Styela clava: one gene and its partner. The protein of the gene in region 1 interacts with the protein of each later gene in a pairwise test. Links are inferred from orthologs where the notes say so. Each region holds a gene or a part of one and is shown on either strand. Other genes may lie near its edges.

Evidence for each region.
Region 2: the proteins of peroxisomal bifunctional enzyme-like (region 1) and catalase-like interact in a two-hybrid assay, tested with the Homo sapiens proteins (2 studies listed by BioGRID, with this or other methods). The link is inferred for Styela clava from reciprocal best matches to the Homo sapiens genes EHHADH and CAT.

The regions. Positions count from the first base shown.
Region 1 is NC_135257.1:18,679,628-18,690,400, reverse strand, and holds peroxisomal bifunctional enzyme-like, read left to right. Parts: upstream 1-6,787; 5' UTR 6,788-7,062; coding exon 7,063-9,249; 3' UTR 9,250-10,247; downstream 10,248-10,773. UniProt on the Homo sapiens protein: Peroxisomal trifunctional enzyme possessing 2-enoyl-CoA hydratase, 3-hydroxyacyl-CoA dehydrogenase, and delta 3, delta 2-enoyl-CoA isomerase activities. Catalyzes two of the four reactions of the long chain fatty acids peroxisomal beta-oxidation pathway.
Region 2 is NC_135255.1:1,208,729-1,219,116, reverse strand, and holds the start of catalase-like, read left to right. Parts: upstream 1-6,050; 5' UTR 6,051-6,070; intron 6,071-6,691; 5' UTR 6,692-6,748; coding exon 6,749-6,808; intron 6,809-7,567; coding exon 7,568-7,660; intron 7,661-8,526; coding exon 8,527-8,605; intron 8,606-8,789; coding exon 8,790-8,900; intron 8,901-9,565; coding exon 9,566-9,696; intron 9,697-10,181; coding exon 10,182-10,286; intron 10,287-10,388. UniProt on the Homo sapiens protein: Catalyzes the degradation of hydrogen peroxide (H(2)O(2)) generated by peroxisomal oxidases to water and oxygen, thereby protecting cells from the toxic effects of hydrogen peroxide.

The DNA.
Region 1 (10,773 bases):
GCTGGCTGTACGTATAGTATAGGCAACGAAATGGATCTTCAGTTATATTCCACTGTTTTCAAAAGATCCGGAACGTCGCGCAATGTGGATATCATCTATTGGCAGGACTGCTTGGTGTCAAGTTCAGAAGCCATCTCACTTGTGTTTCACTGTTTGCGGGCAGCACTTCGTTGATGGTAAGTCATAATGTGCCGTTATCAATTTTTTTGAATATTCATAAGCTCCCTCATTTCAATGGAAAGCAGATGACAAACTACTGTTATTGGTAGGCCTAGGCGTAGGCCTACTTGCAGACTTGACTCGTGTAAGGTATTAATCAATAATTGCCATAAGGTATTGTTTCCCTAGTTAGCAGGTAATCTATTAGTAAGTGTGAAAAGTTGAATAGATAACTAAAGTTTAACGCCAGTGCTAATGCAAAAATAACCAGAATTGAATTCTCCATCTAAGAAAACGCTCGCCACCGCATCTCTGATCCCCCTGGGAGTTTCACAGGTTCCAATCCCATGCGGGGATAGTTATGTGCGAGGGGATTGCAGCTCTCCTCCCACTCTGAGGGTGGTTCACATGACCGCTGGTCGATTACAACATCCCCCATCATCAAGTCCATGCTTCTACAACAAATAACTGGCTAACTAATCCCGACATAGAATGGTAATCGTACGATGTTGCACCTTGCAATCTGTCCCCAACCACAGATAAATTCTATCCTAAAAACTACCCACATTGGTAGGCATAGTTGCGTTTTAAATTGAAAGAAAGCTTCATTAATGGTCAGAAGGTGTTGTCTGATTGTTTCGTTAGTTAGCAGGTAATTTATTACTGATCTGATACACAAACTTGGCACTGTCAAATGATGATTAGTGTTTAATTTATTTTCAGGAAAAAGCGAAGATAACCCATTATCAGCTGCTTATATGTCACATCGATATTTGAATTTTCGCCATCCCCAGAGAGGAAGAGAATAGTTAGAAAAAGGTGGATTTTGAAGAAAGGCAAAAGGCAGGACCATTTCAACAAATTCTGTTAACTTGTATGCGTTGCAATATTAATTTGCAGTTGTTAGCATAAACATTTAATGTGTCTTTCGACTAGATCTAAAAGACCTTCGACTAGACACAAAAAGCCGCCTACACCCCTTTTCACTAGAACCATAATACTGTAAAATATTTGATAGAAATTACCGCCGAGGCATCATATCTTCTATTTGAACAGGCTGTGGAGGCAGATACATTTTTTACTCTAAATTATGGAATGTTACTTCCAGGTTATCTTATCCTTGCTTATAGATATCTTGAGGTTAGTGACTCCAACTGACCCATGCATGCCACACTGAAAATTCTCTTGTGTACCCATAAAATAAGGCTGTTGGAGCCTTCAGACTTTGAAAACAGTCGAATCTGAGCACGATGGATTCATGTGAAACACGTAATATGCATTTAGAGGCAAAATATCCCATCCTGAGCAGCACCGATCCACAACCTCTTGCCTATGGAATCAAAACATTAGACAAATTGGTGTACTGTGCGCATTCACAAATCTTTGCGAATCAAGTGTGCCTTTTGACTAAAGAAAATTTAGCATTGAAATGGTCAATCTCAATATCAACCTAGTATCTGCAGATAAAACCAATTGTTTTTTAAAAATACATTTTTGATGTGCTTTATTTTTCAAATATAATTTATAATTACTGTAAAGTGTGTGATAAATTTGGTACCATGAATACCATTTGCAAATTAGCTCTCAAATAAAAGTTTAGACTTTTAAGTCATATCTCATAATATTCTTTAAACAAAAGGTTGCGGCTAGCCGGCTACCCATCAGAATTTTCTTTCCGATCACAAAGTCGCAATATTACGCCGCGGAAAGTTTCATTGGCAACTGTATCTGGTTGTAGTATCGGTGTCCAACGTTAGACTAAAACCTTTACTACCAGACCCACCGAAATAATTTTTTTTTACTTGATAGGGTCGTCTTGAAGTTGCTTTCGTTAAAGCCCAATGGACACTTTATCTCCACCAATCCACAGTAATCACGAGTTACTTTGTCATTACGATAAGCATCAATAAATGGATACTGAGGATGTATTATCAAGTCACGCAAGCTGAGGTCTTGTGTCACTGTGGTCTTGTTGCAACTTATACTTTACCATCCATCTATTCCATGGTCGCACCCATATCTGTAAGATAATGGATACAGATAGAGTTTTCATGATTTCTAACGATCAAGGAGTGTGAAATTTATGTCCATAGCCCACCACAGCCACTAGTCGTAAATGAATTTGATTCCGGGTAGCATATCTTTTTTAACAATGACAATAAAAAGACACTATGGATCAGTTGTACAAGCACCATTAGGATAGGATTTATCTGGGGGGAGCCAGTTATTTGTTTTCAGAAGCATGGACTTGGATGGTGGGGAATGGTCGTAACCGATCAGCGGTCATGTGAACCACCCTCGGTGGGAGTATGAGCTGCAATCCTCTCGCACATAACTATCCCCGCATGGGATCGAAACCTGTGAAACTACCAGGGTGATCAGAGAGGCGGTGGCGAGCGTATTCCTAGATGGCGAATTCAATTGAATTCTGGTTATTTTTTGCATGACCACTGGTGTTAAACTTTAGTTATCTATTCAACCTTTCACACTTAGTAATAGATTACTTGCTAATTAGGGAAACAATACCTTATAGCAATTGATTATTAATTCTTTACTGTCTTACACAAGTCAAGTCTGCAACTGCAAGTAGGCCCATGCCTAGGCCTACTAAAAACAGTAGTTTGTCATCTGCTTTCCATTGAAATGAGGGATCTTGTGAATATTTAAAAAAATTGATAACGGCACACTATCACCACATTATCACTCACCATCAACGAAGTGCGCAAACAGTGAAACACAAGTGAGAAGGCTTCTGAACTTGACACCAAGCAGTCCTGCCAATAGATGATATCCACATTGCGCGACGTTCCGGATCTTTTGAAATCAGTGGAATATAACTGGAGATCCATTTCGTTGTCTATACTATACGTACAGCCAACGGAACAATACGAAATAACCATTTTCAACAGCCAAACAAAACGGAAACGTATAATCCGACTTGCAACTGACAGGAGCCAAATGGACGTTTTTGTTTTATTGCCGTCCAGTAACAAAGTCACGTGACCCGTGCAAGTCCTCTATATCATTTTCTACTTTCCGTGGCAGGTAGGTAGCGGTTCCGTGAATTTATATGAGTTAGCCTACATGGTTATCAATATGTTTTGATTCATCAACCATATCATATTTTGGTGGCGATACTACTAGTACTTGCGATAGGCCTGGGCAAGGGTGGTAAATACCGGTATGTTTTGCCTCTTGATCCGACAACTTGAGCCTGCGTTGGTGTATGAAAAATGAAATCTAGTCTACTATAAAATTATGTTGCAGTGTTATCTTTAACAAAATACATCTGTGAGGTACCTGATATTACCAACGTGCCGTACCTTTATGTTTCGACTTTTGATCAGACAACTCGATAGGTCTATGAAAAAAAATGGTTTGTTCTGATTTTCCAAACTGGTGCAACGCGAAATTCAATAAAGTCTGGATGGAAGTTTTTGAACGTCCAGTCCAAACTGGATCAATTGATGAATAACTATTTGTTGTTTGTCGAGTTGTTTTGTCGATTTTATTAGATCAATCAATTTTATTTCGGTTACTCTGAAAGAAACAAAACAACAACAAATGGACAAACAAAATGCAGAGGGCCTGAAGGAGATGCGCTTACTTAACGCTAAATTGACCTATGGATCTGATCGCTTTGAAAAATAATAGCTGTTGTTGAACCCAGTGTGTCAACTATTAGAATTCGACTACTTAAGTATATAAGTATAAGTTTATTTCGACTCCATAATCAGCAAAACAATAAAATGAATGCTAAAAATAAATAAATAAAAACTGATTATGAAATCAGGAGAGCGAACAAAACCTTAGATAAGGTTTAAAACGTACAGAATGTATATAAGATGGAAGGTTTTGCCAAGAAGATGTGGTACGTGTTCACTCACCTAAAGTAATTGAAATATTTCACACACGCTCACACGCACCCACACACACAACCATATAGAAGTTATTAAGTAAAGGGAACATGAAAAATTACATACTGGTAGTTAATAAAAAATAAATAAATAAAAATTACTTGCCACACCATATTAATAAATTTATCATGATTGCCACTGCCAAATTGATCAATTTTATAAATGGGAGTGAACAGTAAAGATCCACTTTTATAAAAAAATATATTGTCAAGCTGATTATAGATGGAGTCAAATGCCAAAATGCCCAACCAAAGTTGCCAGAATTGGGTGCATGAAGAGGTGGGCTAGACCACTTCATTGCCCAGACTAGAGCCTATTATTTATTGCCAAATTGTAGACCATAATATACAAGGTATATGTCTCGGAAATACAGAAATTAAAATTTCCTTGTTTGCAGATGACGCAACAGTATATTGTGATGGGTCACAAAAAAGTATTAAAACAGTATTTTCTGAAACCGATAATTTCTTTACCATGTCTGGGTGCAAGATAAATACGAATAAATGCCAAGCATTATACCTGGGTGCAAATAATAATTGGCAAAATTTTCCTATGCAAGACCGAGGACTTCAGTGGAACCCTAGCTGTTTTAAAATTTTGGGCATTAATGTGTGTGGAAATGATACGGATCTTTTTACTGTGAACCTTTTGCCAAAACTTCAAAAACTGAAAATGGTTGCACAAATATGGTCCAAAAGAAATCTAGATTTCCTCGGAAAAATCACTGTGATTAAATCTTTGATGTTGAGCTTATTGGTTTATGTAGTTTCCATCTTACCAGTAATACTGCCCAATAGTTTTATAATGGAAGTAAATAAGATATGCCATGAATTTTTATGGGGTTCAAAATGGGAGAGAATAAAACGTAAGACATTAATTGCACCTGTGAAGGAAGGGGGGGTCAATATGCTTGATGTGGAATCATTTCTCATTGGTCAAAAATTAAGATGGGTTAAATGTTTAATAAATGACGAAATTGATGTCTCATGGAAATCCATAGAAATGTTTTTCTTGAATTTGTATGGAGGAAAGGCTTTATTTTATGGAAATGTATATCCGCATGGAGTGTATATCAAAAATATGTATTCCAGATGTTTGAGAGATACTCTGTACTATTGGTTTATTTTCAAATCCAAGATTATTAGGGATGTAAGTCATTTACATGAACCTTTGTGGTTTAATAAAAATATAACTTGCAAAGGAAAACTTTTATATATGGATGATTGGAATAGTAAATATATTTGTTTCGTTGAAGATATTTGTGATTCTAATCAGCAACTTGCAATGTTTCCGTATGTTTTTCATCATTATTGTTTTTCTAGTTTTTATGATGACATGCTAGCGTATTTAAAAATTATATCATGTATAACCCAGCAATGGAAAACTAATTTATCAAAAACCTCACCAGTCAATCCACATCTTAGTCTTATCGAAGATATTAAAAGCATTGATAAAACGTCTCGATATATTTATGATAAGCTTTGTAATGAAAAAATTTTGCCGCCAACTGAAAAAATAGAAAAATGGTCAAAAGAATTGTGCAGGAACTTAGATGATTGGTTTACATTGTATGAAAAAGTTTTTTATTGCTCTATTGAATCCAGACTTCGTTCATTCCATGTCAAATTTGCCTTGCGAGCAGTGCCCACTAATGACCTGCTATATAGAATAAATAAAACACAAAGTCCAAAATGTACATTTTGTAATATGCATGTTGAAACCGTGTTACATTTATTTTATCTCTGTGAATTTGTGCAGCAATTTTGGGAAATAGTTAACGCTTGGCTAACCGTTGAGTATGGATTAAACTTCAATTTGACACATAGAGAAATGTTATTGGGGGTAGGGCAAAATCAGGGTATAAACTGTGTTTTATTATGTGCCAGATATTTTATATACAAATGTAAACTGCGTAATGAAAGGCCTCAATTTTGCCAATTTTTATATATGATAAAAAATATTATAAACTGTGAAAAGATTATTGCAACTAAAAATGGTAAACTGTCAATCCATAATAAGAAGTGGAAAACTATTGTGTGCTCGTTTTTTTAAAATGCAATTGTATTTGTGCTATTGTGTCTATATAAATGTGTTGTGATAATGTGATGTTTTTATTAATAAAAAAAAAAATGTAAACAAAAAAAAAAAAAAAAAAAAAAATTGTAGTCCAGATTGCAATAAGTATTTAAATCCATCAGTAACTTTATAAGTATGAGTAATTATAATTAATTAAGGTAGAAAGATAGGGTATATGAATATGTTGGTTGCTAAGGTTATAAGGTTTTTTTTTTCATTCTTAGATATTGACTTCTGCAAAGATAAAGGAATTAGGAATAAAGGAATTAGTATTGTTATTTCACAGGATCATTTCTTCATTTAATTATTGTGGCGTAATAGATTCAAGTTTATCGTGGATGAGACATCAGCCTGCGAATTTTGTTGTTGTAGACACCATTTTATTCAATAAACTAGCCATTGTATTGATCATCACAGAACGACCTGAAAAACAGAAAACAAATCTGCGAGTAGGATATTCAAGGGTTAGCTCTTTATTACAATGTGAGTATTGGTTGATTAAATACCGGTGTTCAGTTAATCATACAGCGAAACGACTGCAGACAATGCCGCATTTGAAAGCCGGTAAATTTACATGCCTAGGGCGACGCTTACACTGCTGTCGATGATAGAGGAATAGAACGAGCTTATACAGAGACCACCCAAGCGAGTCGCCTAAGTAAATAAGGTATAGCGTAACAGTCTGCTGCAGGTGTAGGTTCTGGTTTGAATGCGATGTGTATGTTCTGTTCATCGTTGCTGTAATTTTAGCTGTGTCATGACGGCGTAGGGTTAGCAAAGATTGTGTAATGTCTGAATGTACGTTGTTTGCTGCCTCTTCTGCAAGCTGACGGTTCTACTGTTTTGTGTGGGGTTAACGGTATAGTTGGCAGCTGGATTTACTTCTTGTTATAATAGATAAACAGATATTATGGCGGAATATTCAGTCAATGGGAATATTGCGATTATAAAGCTAAGCAATGGTAAATTGAACCCACTCAGCGAATCTGTGAGGACGGGTATCAAGTTGTATTTAAAAAAGGCCTTGGATGACCAAACAGTCGAAGCCATAGTTTTACGTGGAAGCGAAAAACATTTTTCAGTCGGCGCTGACATTTCAGAATTTGGAGGGGATTCCATCAAAACACATTTGGGCGATGTCTGTGACGAGATTGAAGCCAGTAGAAAACCAGTCGTGGCTGCGATTCATGGTTACGCCCTTGGTGGAGGTTTTGAGATTGCGCTGTCCTGTCATTATAGAGTCGCCAGTTCAGATGCTGTTGTGGGTTTCCCGGAAGTAAAGTTAGGAATACTTCCGGGTGCAGGTGGAACGCAGAGATTTCCTCGAATCGCTGGACTAGATGCTGCAATGCAATGGATCACTACAGGAAAACAGTACTCGGCCAATACTGCAGCAAAACTTGACGTTATTGATCGAATTATTTCGAAAGGGACTGATGTTATCAAAGAGTCGATTGCTTTTGCTCGAATTGTGGCGACTAAGTCTCTATTAGGAAGAAGATCAGCTGATAGAAGAGTCAAAGATGCCGACTGTGTGGATGAAATTGCAGCAAAATATACGCAAATTGTGCATAAAAAGTCTCGAGGTCAATACGCCCCGATTTATTGCATAGAAGCTGTAAGATATGCTGCGCAAAGCACCCTGGCTGAAGGATTGAAAAAGGAATCTGAAATTATATCGATGCTGGGAAAATCTGGCCAAGCAATTGCTCTAAGGTATGCATTCTTTGCAGAAAGACAAGTGCAAAAATGGAGCGTTCCTGGAAGTGATATATCATGGCATAACTCCAAACCTATGCCTGTAAAGCTCGGTGCCGTTATTGGTCTCGGTACAATGGGGCGAGGAATTGTCATAAATTTCCTTCGTGCTGGGATTCCAGTTATTGTTATAGAGATGAACGAAAAGTTTCTCAGTGCTGGTATGAAATCAGTACATGCACTCATTGACGACATGGAACGCCATCAAAAGATCACTAAGCAGCAAAATGCAATGATGAAAAAGGCCGTGACTGGTACTTTGAATTATAACGATTTAAAAAATGTCGATCTAGTCATTGAAGCTGTTTTTGAAGAGATCTCACTTAAAGAAAAAGTTTTCAAAGCGCTGGATAATGCTTGCAAGCCTTCTGCGATACTGGCCTCGAATACCAGCGCTCTAGATATTGACAAAATTGCTTCTTTTACCAGAAGGCCCCAAAAGGTGATGGGAATGCACTTCTTTGCTCCAGCTAACTTGATGCGCCTCTTGGAGAATGTCATGGGATCGAAAACTTCTAGTGAGACAATCGCAACTTGTATGGACATGGGAAAGAGAATGGGTAAAGTCACCGTACTTGTTGGTAATTGCTACGGCTTCGTTGCCAACCGAATGTACTTTAATTACAAAGCTGAGTCCTGGTACCTCGTCGAAGAAGGCTCGTTGCCAGTGGAAGTCGACAAAGCAGTAAAAGATTACGGATTCGCAATGGGGGCATATGTTGTGGATGACCTTTCAGGCCTCGATCTTGGATATCGTATGCGGACTGCGTTTGGGTTGACACCAAAACAGCAAATTCCTGGAACCCAAGAGAACGTTCGAAGTGGATTGAGATACTGCCCATTGCCTGATTATCTTGTAGAAGTCGGACGGTACGGTCTTAAGACGAAGAAAGGATGGTACGATTACCCTAACGGCAGAATTCCTGTTGAGTCAGGCGAAGTGTCGAAAATTATCAGCGATTACCGGAGTCGTATTGGAGCTACTGCGCGTAAAATTGATCATGAAGAAGTGATCGAAAGATTGGTGTTCGCTCTCGTCAATGAGGGTTTCAAAGTTCTTGATGATGGAATCGCAGCCTCTCCTATGGATATAGATATGATCTGGATACACGGATACGCTTTCCCAAGTCACACCGGTGGTCCTATGCACTATGCAAGTAAAATTGGCCTTCCGAAAGTTCTGGCTCGTATAAAGCATTATTATGAAAAGTTTGGAAATGTGGTGCCACAGTGGACTCCTAGTCCAATGCTAGAACGCATCGTGGAGAAACGCGGGGATCTTGATATGAGCCAATGGATGCAGTACTCTAGCGCCACCAAGACTAAAAGTAATCTGTGATATCACTATGACAACATATTCTTTAATTTTGTTAGAAATTAAATGCAATTTATCTTTGAATCTTCATATCGAATTTAATTCGTTTATTTTTGCTTTTATCAAGTTGAATATTAAGTCAGAAACGTCATGGATAAATCATTTGCTTTATTGAGAGTACCAGACTCTGTCGCCTGCCTAATTTTGTTGAGTGCTATACATCTTCATTATGTACCCCCTTTGATCCTTTATGCATGCTGGACTGCCATGTTCTCTCATTTTTGTTCTGCCATTTTATGTGGAGTTTGCCGTGATTGCAATTTGGCATCTATGCATAATTTGAAGCCATATTCTCCAAAATTTTTAATTAAAAATTACAGGAGTTTGAAAATCAATAATGTGCATTTTCTCAGGGCACCTTTTTCAAGTTTCGCCCTTCTGCGTTTAAGCTCTTGATACTAAAATGTGTCGATTTGATAACGTCTATCCAAAGTCTATCAGTATTAAATTTGAAATATCTATTCATATCATTGTATATCTTAGTCATTGAAATAGATCAGTGGTTGGTTCTCAACCTTAATACCTTTCTCATGCAATGGAAAAACTACAAGAAAAATAAAAAATATAGAGTCTTCCACTTTTATAATTGAAATGTAAATTACTACTCAGAAGCAGAAAACAGCATCATTCATTGCTGCTACAATCAAAATTAAATTATTTATCAATCAATAACTCTAGCAATTTTAATAGATTTGTGGACCATGCCCCACTGGTTAAGAACCGGCGATCTAGTTTAAAGCATTCGATACCGATATGCGCCCTCAGCAATTTGATTACAGCATTCCAACATCTATCTGTACGCATTTATAATTTCATTATATTCAAAAATTAGGTTCATATTATTGAATTTCTTATTCATTGATTTATGGCAGCTTTTTGATCTTTTTTTTTCGATGCAATAATTTTTTATTATATATCATTAAAATTTAATTTATATCTGAAATAAAATTGAAATCAAAATTAAGTCAATTTTTTTTTTTATCTCATTATTAGAGTTCTACCCCAGTTGTGGAAATCAGTGCTCATTTTTGGGTACTCCCCGAAGTATGTGTACCAGGTTAGGGTTAGTTGGGCCATAATTTTATACAAATTTTCCTTATTTTAGTTCTATTACGAGTTTGGCGACTGTCTGTGTTAACTAGGTGAATATCCCCCTGTCCATAGGTTTCAGTACCTTTACATAACTTTATGTAAAATAGGCGAACAAAATTAGTTATCTCCATATTGGTACACACACTTCTGGAGCACCCATTTTTGATATGAAGAAAAGAAACCTTTTTACATTTTAGAAAGTGTCAGTAGGATGGCCAACGCTTATTCCTATCCATTTTGTGGTGTTCAAAGGTAGCTGTATCTCTTTTTGAGTGGGTTTCATTCAGTCGTGGAATTTTAAAACATGCTATCTTTTGATTCGAACACACTGACACAACAGTTGCCTCATTTGATAAATATACCTCTGCCACTACTACCCACTACATAAGCTACATT
Region 2 (10,388 bases), on another chromosome or scaffold:
AATCTTACACAAAATAGATCTCACACACGTAAGTGTGTGAAATTTAACTGAAATACGAAATTTCGAATACTAATTATATTTCGATGTTGTGGAAAATTGCTCAAAATTTATCTCTAATGTTCACCTATCCGATAACTTGAGAGTGACAAATATTATAAAACAAAATTTTGAAACCATATTGAAAAACAAAAAAGAAAATTAATCGCAAATCGTCATCTACTCAGCTACGTAAGTGTGTCATGTAAATGCAAAATGATATTTTGGAATGGCAATAATATTGAGAAGCATTCAAAAAAATTTCAACCATTCGACCATTTCAGAAGGTATATAATTAGAACACGAAATTCTGAATAAAATATCGAGGAACATTATACACAACATATCTCAAATGTTCAATAAAGTGACGTTTTCAGTGGGGCCTATAAATGCGAAACGAAATTTTGCCATGTCAACTAAAATGAGAAACATTACACCAAATATAACTCAAATGTCTACCTATTAGGGCGCCTAATTATAGCAGTGATTGATTATACAGTCAACTATACAAGCGATCAAAATGAAATTATTGAACCTTAATATCAATTTAGAATCTTTGCACAATTTATTTAAAATGTTTGCACCAACTCGGAAAACAAAAACATGATTGTTATTTTGAATTTATAATTAAGTAGTAAAAATGTATGCCAAGTATGTATACGAATGTGGATATGCCCACTAGGTTAAGTTGTTGAGCAGAGACAAGATTATGCTCACTGCCGGTTCATCTTTATGCATTATACAGATATGTCTTAAAGCTTTACATTAAACTTCTCGCAAGATATACCCATCCGTGCAATTATTTTTCTTTTCGTCGTTTCTTTTCTGGTTCGCGTTTGTTTAGAAGCTTTTTTTTAATTGATTTACAGCCTTTTTCTTTTCCATATATATTGTTTTCTTTGAAATCACTTACATTGCTTATTGAAAGTGATTCTGAAGATGGTGCGGTATAGTCTGTTGACTTATCTGAAACTTTGGTCAAATATACATGCATAAGTCACAAAACATCATCACAGTGTTTTAGTCCAATTCAGAATTACGCTACTCTTGATTGATCGAACAAACGAAATGTTTGAAATGGATAATTGCATTATTACTCAAATAAACCAGAGTTTCTAAACGGTGCACTACAATTATTCGTAGATAGCTGCGCTATTTGTGATGGGCTACAAATGATATTATGATTTGGTTTATTACCATTCATTGGTATCAATTTACGATACTGTATTTAATAAAAAAACAAGCATAGCAAACTCATTTAGTCACCTCCTGGCACAGCTTCCTCCGAATCACTACCCGCATTTCCGCCTGCCAAGTTCTGAAACGTAGGCCATCTCGTTGGAGAGTCACCTACATGTGAACAAAAAAATACAGCCCGGTGAATAACTAGATGAAGATGGTAAAATAACACAGGGACATGTGCCAAATCACAAAACAAAATTGCTAGCAATGCAATTCTTCAAAACTGTTTTCCGAAGATGAAATATTCTAATCTAATATGAAGCGGTGTATTAGATATTTTTATTTACACCAAGCTATACAAACGTCAATTACTCGCTTCTCGTATATCCTTCTGTTTCGACAAAAAATTGAATTCATTGAATTTCCACAATCTTCGTTTGTATTTTCATCAGGATTTAGAAATCCTTCTGAATTACACACTCTTACAAACGCAAACCCAGTCGTAGCATTATTTTGATGGTCAGATCAGAACTACGACCAGTAAAAGCATAACAGTATCAGTAGTCTATATTTTGATAATCTGGATTACGTGAAAAATCTCAACACCAAAAATATAGTAACCCTAGTATTAAAAATCGTTATGACTAATCACCTTATCCGATGAGTGATGATTTCCAGCAGCATTCCTCGGTGACGTTGAAATCCTTGCTTATTATGACTCGACTTCAACTCACTGGGTAACTGATAACACCTGACACAAAAGACTTGGATCGCTTCTCCAAACACAACTGTTCTATTTTATCTAAATTTCGGCAATCACGCACTCATGAAGATCCCAATCCCCTCACGGCGTCCAGGTTACTTGCGAACAAAACGGCAAACGTGGTAAAGTTCTCGGCGAACCCGACAGTTTTACTATTGCGACACAAAGCCTCTTTAGTACGGAGTTGTGAATTGGGGTCCTTTACAGTTTATTGAGCTTATATTGCAAAAAACAAAACGGACGATCTTCATGTTCTGCCTGGTTATTGTATCAAAATTATCAAACCTACTCTCCAAAAATCGTAAAAACATATACCGAAAAATTAAAAGATTTTTGAATAAATAAAATGTCCACTTTATGTACGAAAATTAAACCCGTTGATTATAAACCAGCAGAACTACTGTCCCATTAAAGTTGGCGAAAATGTGCACTAATTTAAAAAATATTGAAAGAACATATTATTTGTGATACTGTTTTATCAGAGAAAAAGAGATTTCAGCAAAATATCGCAAAACGTTTTAATTATGGAACGTGGAATAATTAAGCGGACAGGAAAATGTCTACCCAATTTTTCCGTCTACATAACTGTCGCTTTTTTAGCACGGTATGTCTACTTAACTACCGTATTAGATATATATATATATATATATATTTCAAACTGTCGAACCTGGTTCTGCGAATGTTTTAATGTAAAGTAGATATATATCTATTGTTTTTCAAGAAGGATTGGATTTTAACGACAAATTTGGGTAACATGAAATTCTGAAGCATATTACATTTCCCCACATTTACATTAATATATAAGTCATATCTCAGTACCAACAAAGCGCAGTTTAAGTGTATTACCCAAACATATACCCAAATTTTCATCTACACACCTAAGCATGATTTCTTATTATACGGTAGGAAGCATAAATTTATTTTAAACCCAAATGTCCGTGAAAACAAGAAATCACCGATGGGCGATGATGCTTAGTAATCCACTAGTAAGCGTGAATGTATTAATTGATCAATTCTTGACGTCACCTAGAGCAATTATCAATATTAGAAGTGCTTGGTCATTTTGTTGATGGTTTTTCGCCAATTACGCATATCTGCACTGTATCAGTGACAAGACACTTTTTGTATGTCAGATAAATCTTAAAATATCAGAGAAAAATCTTTATTCTCTAAAAGGCTATCAGGTTCAAACGGAGGCCACAAATATTCTTAAAAATAGGATGAACAATTTAGCAAGTAATCAAAATATTCGCTAAGACTTGGTACCGCTAACGGTTAACGTGATTTTGATTAAAAATATTTAAAAGATACATCATAGGTGCAAAGACATGGCCAAATAAAATTCAGCTACAATTAAGCTCTATCATATGAAATGAACTTAACAATACAAATTGTTGACGAATTAATGCATGTTTTCAGAAAACATAAAAGGGCTGTTTTTAAGCAAAATACCTATGCACCTTGAGCAGTGTTTATTGAAAACGATTCACGTCGAATATTTTTTGAGGAGATCTTGACGTGAATTTCTAGATTCAATACTTATTTCTTGCCATATATATATTATAAAAATACATACCGGTATATATGAGAAATTGAATTCCGGTTGAACCGTTATCACACATAAGATTGCCAAAGCTCTTGTGTTGGATGGATACATACACCCAAATCAAAGCAGGACCGTTGACTTCTAACACAGTGCTATGTTCTGAACTTGTCGGCGAAGTTTCAAAATTCCCTGCAATTAGTTGAACTGATGGCGGGGATTGGTCTTTTTAGGAATAGCGGACTGATGCCGTACGTTTCATCATGACTTCCCGTTCTGAGCAGCCGCCCGTTAGGTAAAGGGCATGCGAGATTCTCAGAAAAAAAAACTGATGAAATACTGTAATAGAATTACGGTACGTACATGCGATAAAACAAAAGCATGATAGGGCGCATTAAAGTATCTGCACAGTATGTTCCCCAGCTTTTCTCTTTAGGGGGGGTGTTTAAAAATTTAGGGGGTGGTAAATAATTTGCTATTAGAGATAAAACTAGGCTATTTGTATTCTTAAAAAAAATGGTATGTATTTAAGAAACGATGTACATGGGGGCCCCCCAAGTTGATTGACGGCCAGCCAAAATCCACAGCAGAATGAAATTGTAGGGCCAGAAAAGGGGAGCAAGGAAAAGTGCGGGACGACACGGCTGGGGTTCAGGGCGCGCTCAAGCGCCCTGAGAAAATTTTGAGAAATAGGCACCAAAATAGGCTCTAAGCTTGATTTTAGATACACATAGCATCGCAGTTTGTTATGCAATAAAATCAATATTTATAAAATTTAGCTGATAGAATTCCCGAGGAATAGATAACAAGCACGGCTTTCAACCGTAAATATATACTACTACGTTTCAACAAGTAATTTGCAACTGATAGTGACTAATGAAGTTACTCGCTCATCTGGCATTGTATGAATGGCTACTTATGGCTTGTTTTGTTACACATTTCTAATTTTTTTGAACATGTTTGTTTGACTTTTGTATGAATTAAATTTTGAAATACGCTCGTCAACTGATCATAATGTCGCTATGTTGTATTCCTTCACAACTGAAATATTTTGTAAGAAAACAAATCGCTGAAGTTTGATTCTTTTCAATAAAGAAATAAAAACGCTGTCATTCATCTAAAAAACGTCTGTTTTCAGTGCCTAGTTTTTGTTTTGTGACATCTTTAAGCTTTCTTAATATATGGCTGATATCTAAAATAATGCAGTGTGTAATCATAATACCCATACCTATACATAAGATACCGGAATAATCCAATTGTTACGAAATGAACGTGCTTAAACTGTGATAATGATGTAACAATAGATGGTATCTAAAACTGGAAAGGTACCACATGAAGGGTTAAACTATTTCACTCAAGTTCGGCGGGCCATTTTAAATCGTCACGCGGGCCGTAGTTGGCCCGCAGACTGCGGTTTAGAACCCCTCAGTGTGGAATCGCACCTCAAAATTAGGGGGGGTGTTTGAAATTTTAGGGGGGGTGTTCACCCCCTATAGGGGGGGTGTAGGGAAATCACTGTATCTGCACGTTTTGAGTTACGACCTTAACAGTCTTTGTTTGAACCAAAATGCCATAGCCATATGTATTATTAGACACGTAGTGGACCTATGGGTCGTTTTGGTATTTTTGTTGTTGTTGTTCTTGTTATTCTTGTTCTTTTTATTGATAGGATGAAAGTGCAATCGTGAATTATCATTTTTATTCACGAGAGTGCATCTATATGCAAATTGTTCACAAAGCAAATATGTATATTATATATTAAAAACAAAAGGGATTAGGCATATTGTTAGCTGTGACTAGGTTCAACAAAATTCCATTGCGGCTAGCTTTGTATCGCACTCGAAAGTGATGGTGGTAAATATCACCCGACGCTCGTGTGTAGGTACCACCGATGTTATTGATATGAACGTGAAAGTGCAGCGCAAATGAGTTCGACTCATTGAAAAATGGGCTGATAATATTAAAATTGCCTATGAAAATTATATATAACAATATAAATAATTTGATGATTGGCTAGAGTATACTAAGAATATTCAATATTTTTTTTGAATTTTATGTTTTTCAGTTATTTCTCATTTATCCGCTTTTTTTATTGTGCGGTTGCGTTCATGGTAGCTTCAAAATCTTTTTTTCTCGGGTATTCTGTCATTTTTTTTTACATCGCTGTTTAGTTCACGTGCGTGTTTGTTATGTAAGGAATGCATAGTCTTATCTGAACTCAGTCTACCCAATAGAAGGGATATCGCGTTGCAAAATTCGAGAATCGCGCAATATTTTTATTAATGGCCCATACATGATTGATGTAACCAACTTACTAATGCGCATGATCGCACGTGCAATGAATCAGCAAATTTCTGCATCGCTACATTGGAGATTTTTTTCCCCGTCTCGCTGAACTACAAGGAAAATATGGCTTAGTTTTCGGTATATATATATGGCGTGCACTGCATGGGAGCTGCATTCAAATAACTTCAGGTCTTTGCCGTTAAATCGTTAAATGATAAATGATAGATATGAAGGTATAGGAGCTGGGTTATCATAAGTCAGTAAGTCGATTTTATTTGTGAAAAGAAAAAGATAAGATTATGCGTGTTTGCATGGATATCGTATTTCATGAGTTGTTATTCTGTTATTGTAGAACCAAGCAGAGTTAAATAATTAGCTGGTATCAAACAAGTATCGCACTGTATAGGCTATTCGCGTGATTTTGTGCCAGTTTGTAACATACACAAAGTTTGTGAATAAGGTTAATATTTAACTGATTATTTCGTTATTGCTGGTTCGTTCTCTAGAATACGGTACCCTTTGCTATCGCCGCAGTAGACAAAATTTGCGTCTGACAATTCGACTACGTGATGTTCCTACAGACAGATATGAACATGTTCTATATTAATTTGTTAGAATGTCTGAATGCTGACATTGTGTGATTGTGGGAATAAAATTTCTCTCTCTTTCTTTGATGCTGCACTCTAATATTGTTATAAATTTACATCATATTGCAGTAGACTATTGCCGTCATGATCACTCTCTTCCATTCAATAACTTTTATTTTAATATAAAGAGATGTTTTTGAATTAATCTTAAATATAAAATAGTGAAATGAAGTACAGAAATAGATATAGTCTACCGGTACTTTAAACATTGTTTATTTTGACATATTTTATCAGATCAATAACGAAAACCTGTAAATCTTATATTACTAAACGAGCTCTTTAAAGAACAACATGGCATCCCCACGATCTAAAGCTGCTGACCAATTGAAAGAATATGCCACAGCCACAAAGGTTTGTTTTATGTTTTAATCTTGTATAATTGTCATGTTTCCAGGTTTCAGTCATTGGCTTTTCAAATATTCTGATATTGTCAACAATGCAAAAATTTACAGCTATAATATGAATATTGTTATGAAAGTAATATTTTTTTTAAGTAAATCTTAGTCAATACTTGTCTGGAGCCTTATGATGCCAGTGTGAGAAAGCAAAAAAATTTCGAATCAAAATTGTAATTTAAGTGTTTATCTCACACCTCATAATTTTGACAATTCATGATCATTGGAGACTCTCTCCTTGAAATTAACATTAATTTTTTATTGTATGGAAAGTTAGGTTATGTTGAATTTTACTGAAAAAAATGATTTTCCTGTAATAAATCTACTTATAATTCAAAATTGAAAATGATTTCAAGTCAGAATTACGAAATATCCAACAATGGGGATACTAATCCATATATTGGTATGATTAGTTTAGATACTAGTTATGCTGCTCATACATCCTTTCGCCAGTTGAAAAGGAAATTAAGCTATATGATATCTTCGGAAGTTGGTAAATTGCAGGATATACATATTACATGATGCTATGCTTCCGTTGCCTATATTACTGCCCATATGGATTATCTATCAATATAATTCTCTTAATTTTGTGCTCACTGTGAGTAAAACTTAATGATACAACAGAACACTTGATAATATACAAAAACAATCCTTAAAATTTTTTCGTGCTCATGGTTTTGAACCTTAATTATATGTATATAATTGTTTTGTCTAGAATGGTGGAGCTCTTACCTCCAGCACTGGGGCACCAATTGACCAGAAGTTGCAGTCAATGACGGTTGGACCAAGAGGGCCAATGCTTTTGCAGGTATTCTTTGATGGTGTTTGTCGAATCCTTATATATTTTTTATACATTGAAAAACTTAATATATCGCCGGATGAGAACAGAACAGGCCTAAGTCACAATTTTGAGTTTTGAGAAAAACGTACAAAACAATTTGGAATTTTTTTATTTTTGAATTTCTAGATATTCACACTTAGTAAAGACCTGAGCTCTGGTTATTTTAATGTGGATGTGAATATCTTTGTAATCAATATTTTTTGGCACTTCAGCTTCAATTCCTTCCTGCTTTTTTAACCCCATAATGGACTTTGGCCCATTCTGTTCTCAACAACTTCTGAATTTTTTTGTATGGGATGCAAGGTAAAACAAGGTGACTTAGGCCTAGGTTGCACTGAAGAAATTTTTAGGGATGTTAGTTTCGGACATTTCATTTCTGATGTTCATGCCCATCATATTGGAACTTGGGACTATCTTTTTCTAGTATTTTGGGGTTTTGAGCCATACTCTACAAGGTGGTGGTCTTGAAATTCTGAATTTCATAATATTAAAAATTTTAGCTGGACTTAGGCCCATTCTGTTCTTAACTTCTACAGGCCTAAGTCCAGCTTAAATTTTTATTATTGAGAAAATTCAGGATTTCAAGACCACCACCGTGTAGAGCATGGCTCAAAACCCCAAAATATTGAAAAAAGTGAATTTTGCAAAAATGTGACTTAGGCCCCTTCTGTTCTCATTCTGCGATATGTCTCACTCTCGTATTTATTCAATAGGGCCTATATTAACGAATACAATATATTGGTTATTTTGACTCCCTTATCCGAATATACAGGTAACATCCCTCGCGTCATAATATTTGAATTATTATTTTACGATCAAATTTTATTTTATAGGATTTTGCATTCACTGATGAGATGGCACACTTCAACCGAGAAAGAATTCCGGAGCGTGTTGTGCATGCTAAAGGAGGAGGTGAATACTTTAGTTTTATTTAAAGTGAAAATATATAAAGCTGTTTGTCATTACCACATGTCATTTTCAAATTCAATTTTTTCAAATATTGTTTTTGATATAAATTGTCTGTGCATAAAATCAAACATCCATGTTTTTACTTTCTTGCAATTGCCGTAGATTTAATTCAATTGATTTATAACAGGTGCCAAAGGGTATTTCGAAGTCACCCATGACATCACAAAGTACTGCAAAGCTAAGATATTTGAAAAGGTTGGAAAAAGAACTCCACTTGCTGTTCGATTCTCAACTGTGGGTGAGGTATTTTCATATATATCGAAATTTAAATACAGTAGTGAAACATACACGATTCACAATTTTCAAATTGTACTGGATTCAATGTATTTGAATGCAATTGTATTTTGTGCTGGTAGCCTTTACAATTATGAATAGTATTGTCTATATCCTTGTGAAATTTTCATTGTAGCACACTAATAACGTTTGTTCTTTTTAGTGAGTTACTACTTAAAAATCAGGCTTAAATAGCAACTAGTAGGATGTTCAAGACTACTGCGTACTGCTGCTTATTATCAATATTTTGAAAAGTTCTTCCTGTTTTGCATATTATATTACCGTAATTTTGTCTCATCACGCTCAGATGCATTGTCTCGTTCAGTTTTGTAATTTTGGCATATTATTATTTTATTGCATAATTGAATTTCTCGTATTGACTGCAATTTCGAAAATGCACATACCGTAAATGTATTCAGTGAAAGCATCAAATATATTTGAATGTATTTTTGAGTTTGTATTTATTGAATGAAATCAAAATGCCTGGATTAAAAAAAAAATTGTGTTTGAAAATTCTAGATACATATTTTTGACATACCCCAAGTAGAATATACCAGTGTACATTGCAATATTTATTTTTCATATGTTAGTGTATGAGTAAAATTCTAAACATCTAATTATCATTCAAAGGGGGTGAAGCTGGAAGTGCAGATACTGCCAGAGATCCTCGTGGATTTGCAGTAAAATTTTACACTGAGGATGGTAATTGGGATTTGGTTGGTAACAATACACCTATCTTCTTCATTAGAGATCCCATCTTTGTGAGTTTTGTTTTTTACTAGATATTTATCAACTATTATTTGATATGATGTAAGATGATTTGATGTATATGATTCTATTGATTATTGAATAACCTAAGTGATTCAAGAGTCTTGCTGCACACTAACGTAAATATATTTCTGTAACGTTTCGTCTGACCAAGGTCAGACTTCCTCAGACACTATTGTCTATTGCCAATAGTTCAACTGTGAACTACGTATGTCTGAGGAAGTCTGACATTGATCAGATGAAACGTTACAAAAATAAATTTGTATTAGTGTGCAGCAAAACTCTTGAATCACTTAGGATAGTTATGCAACAGCATCCTCGCATTATATGCATACCGATCCACCGGCGCGGAAACATAGAAGATGAAGAAGTAGTTAGTATCGTAGAAACCCAATCGATAGCACAGATTATTAAATATTTCGGATTTGAACAAAGATTTAACACAGCATTTATTACCCTTTGAATTTTTCCTTTCCAGTTCCCATCGTTCATTCACACTCAGAAAAGAAATCCTCAAACTCATCTTAAAGATCCAGATATGTTTTGGGATTTCATTTCACTTCGTCCAGAGACGACTCACCAGGTATCATTAACAATACTATTTATTAAGTCATCATATAAAATAAAAATGAATAAATAAGGATAATTTTTAGAAATAAATAGAGAACAGAGAAGTTATAATTAT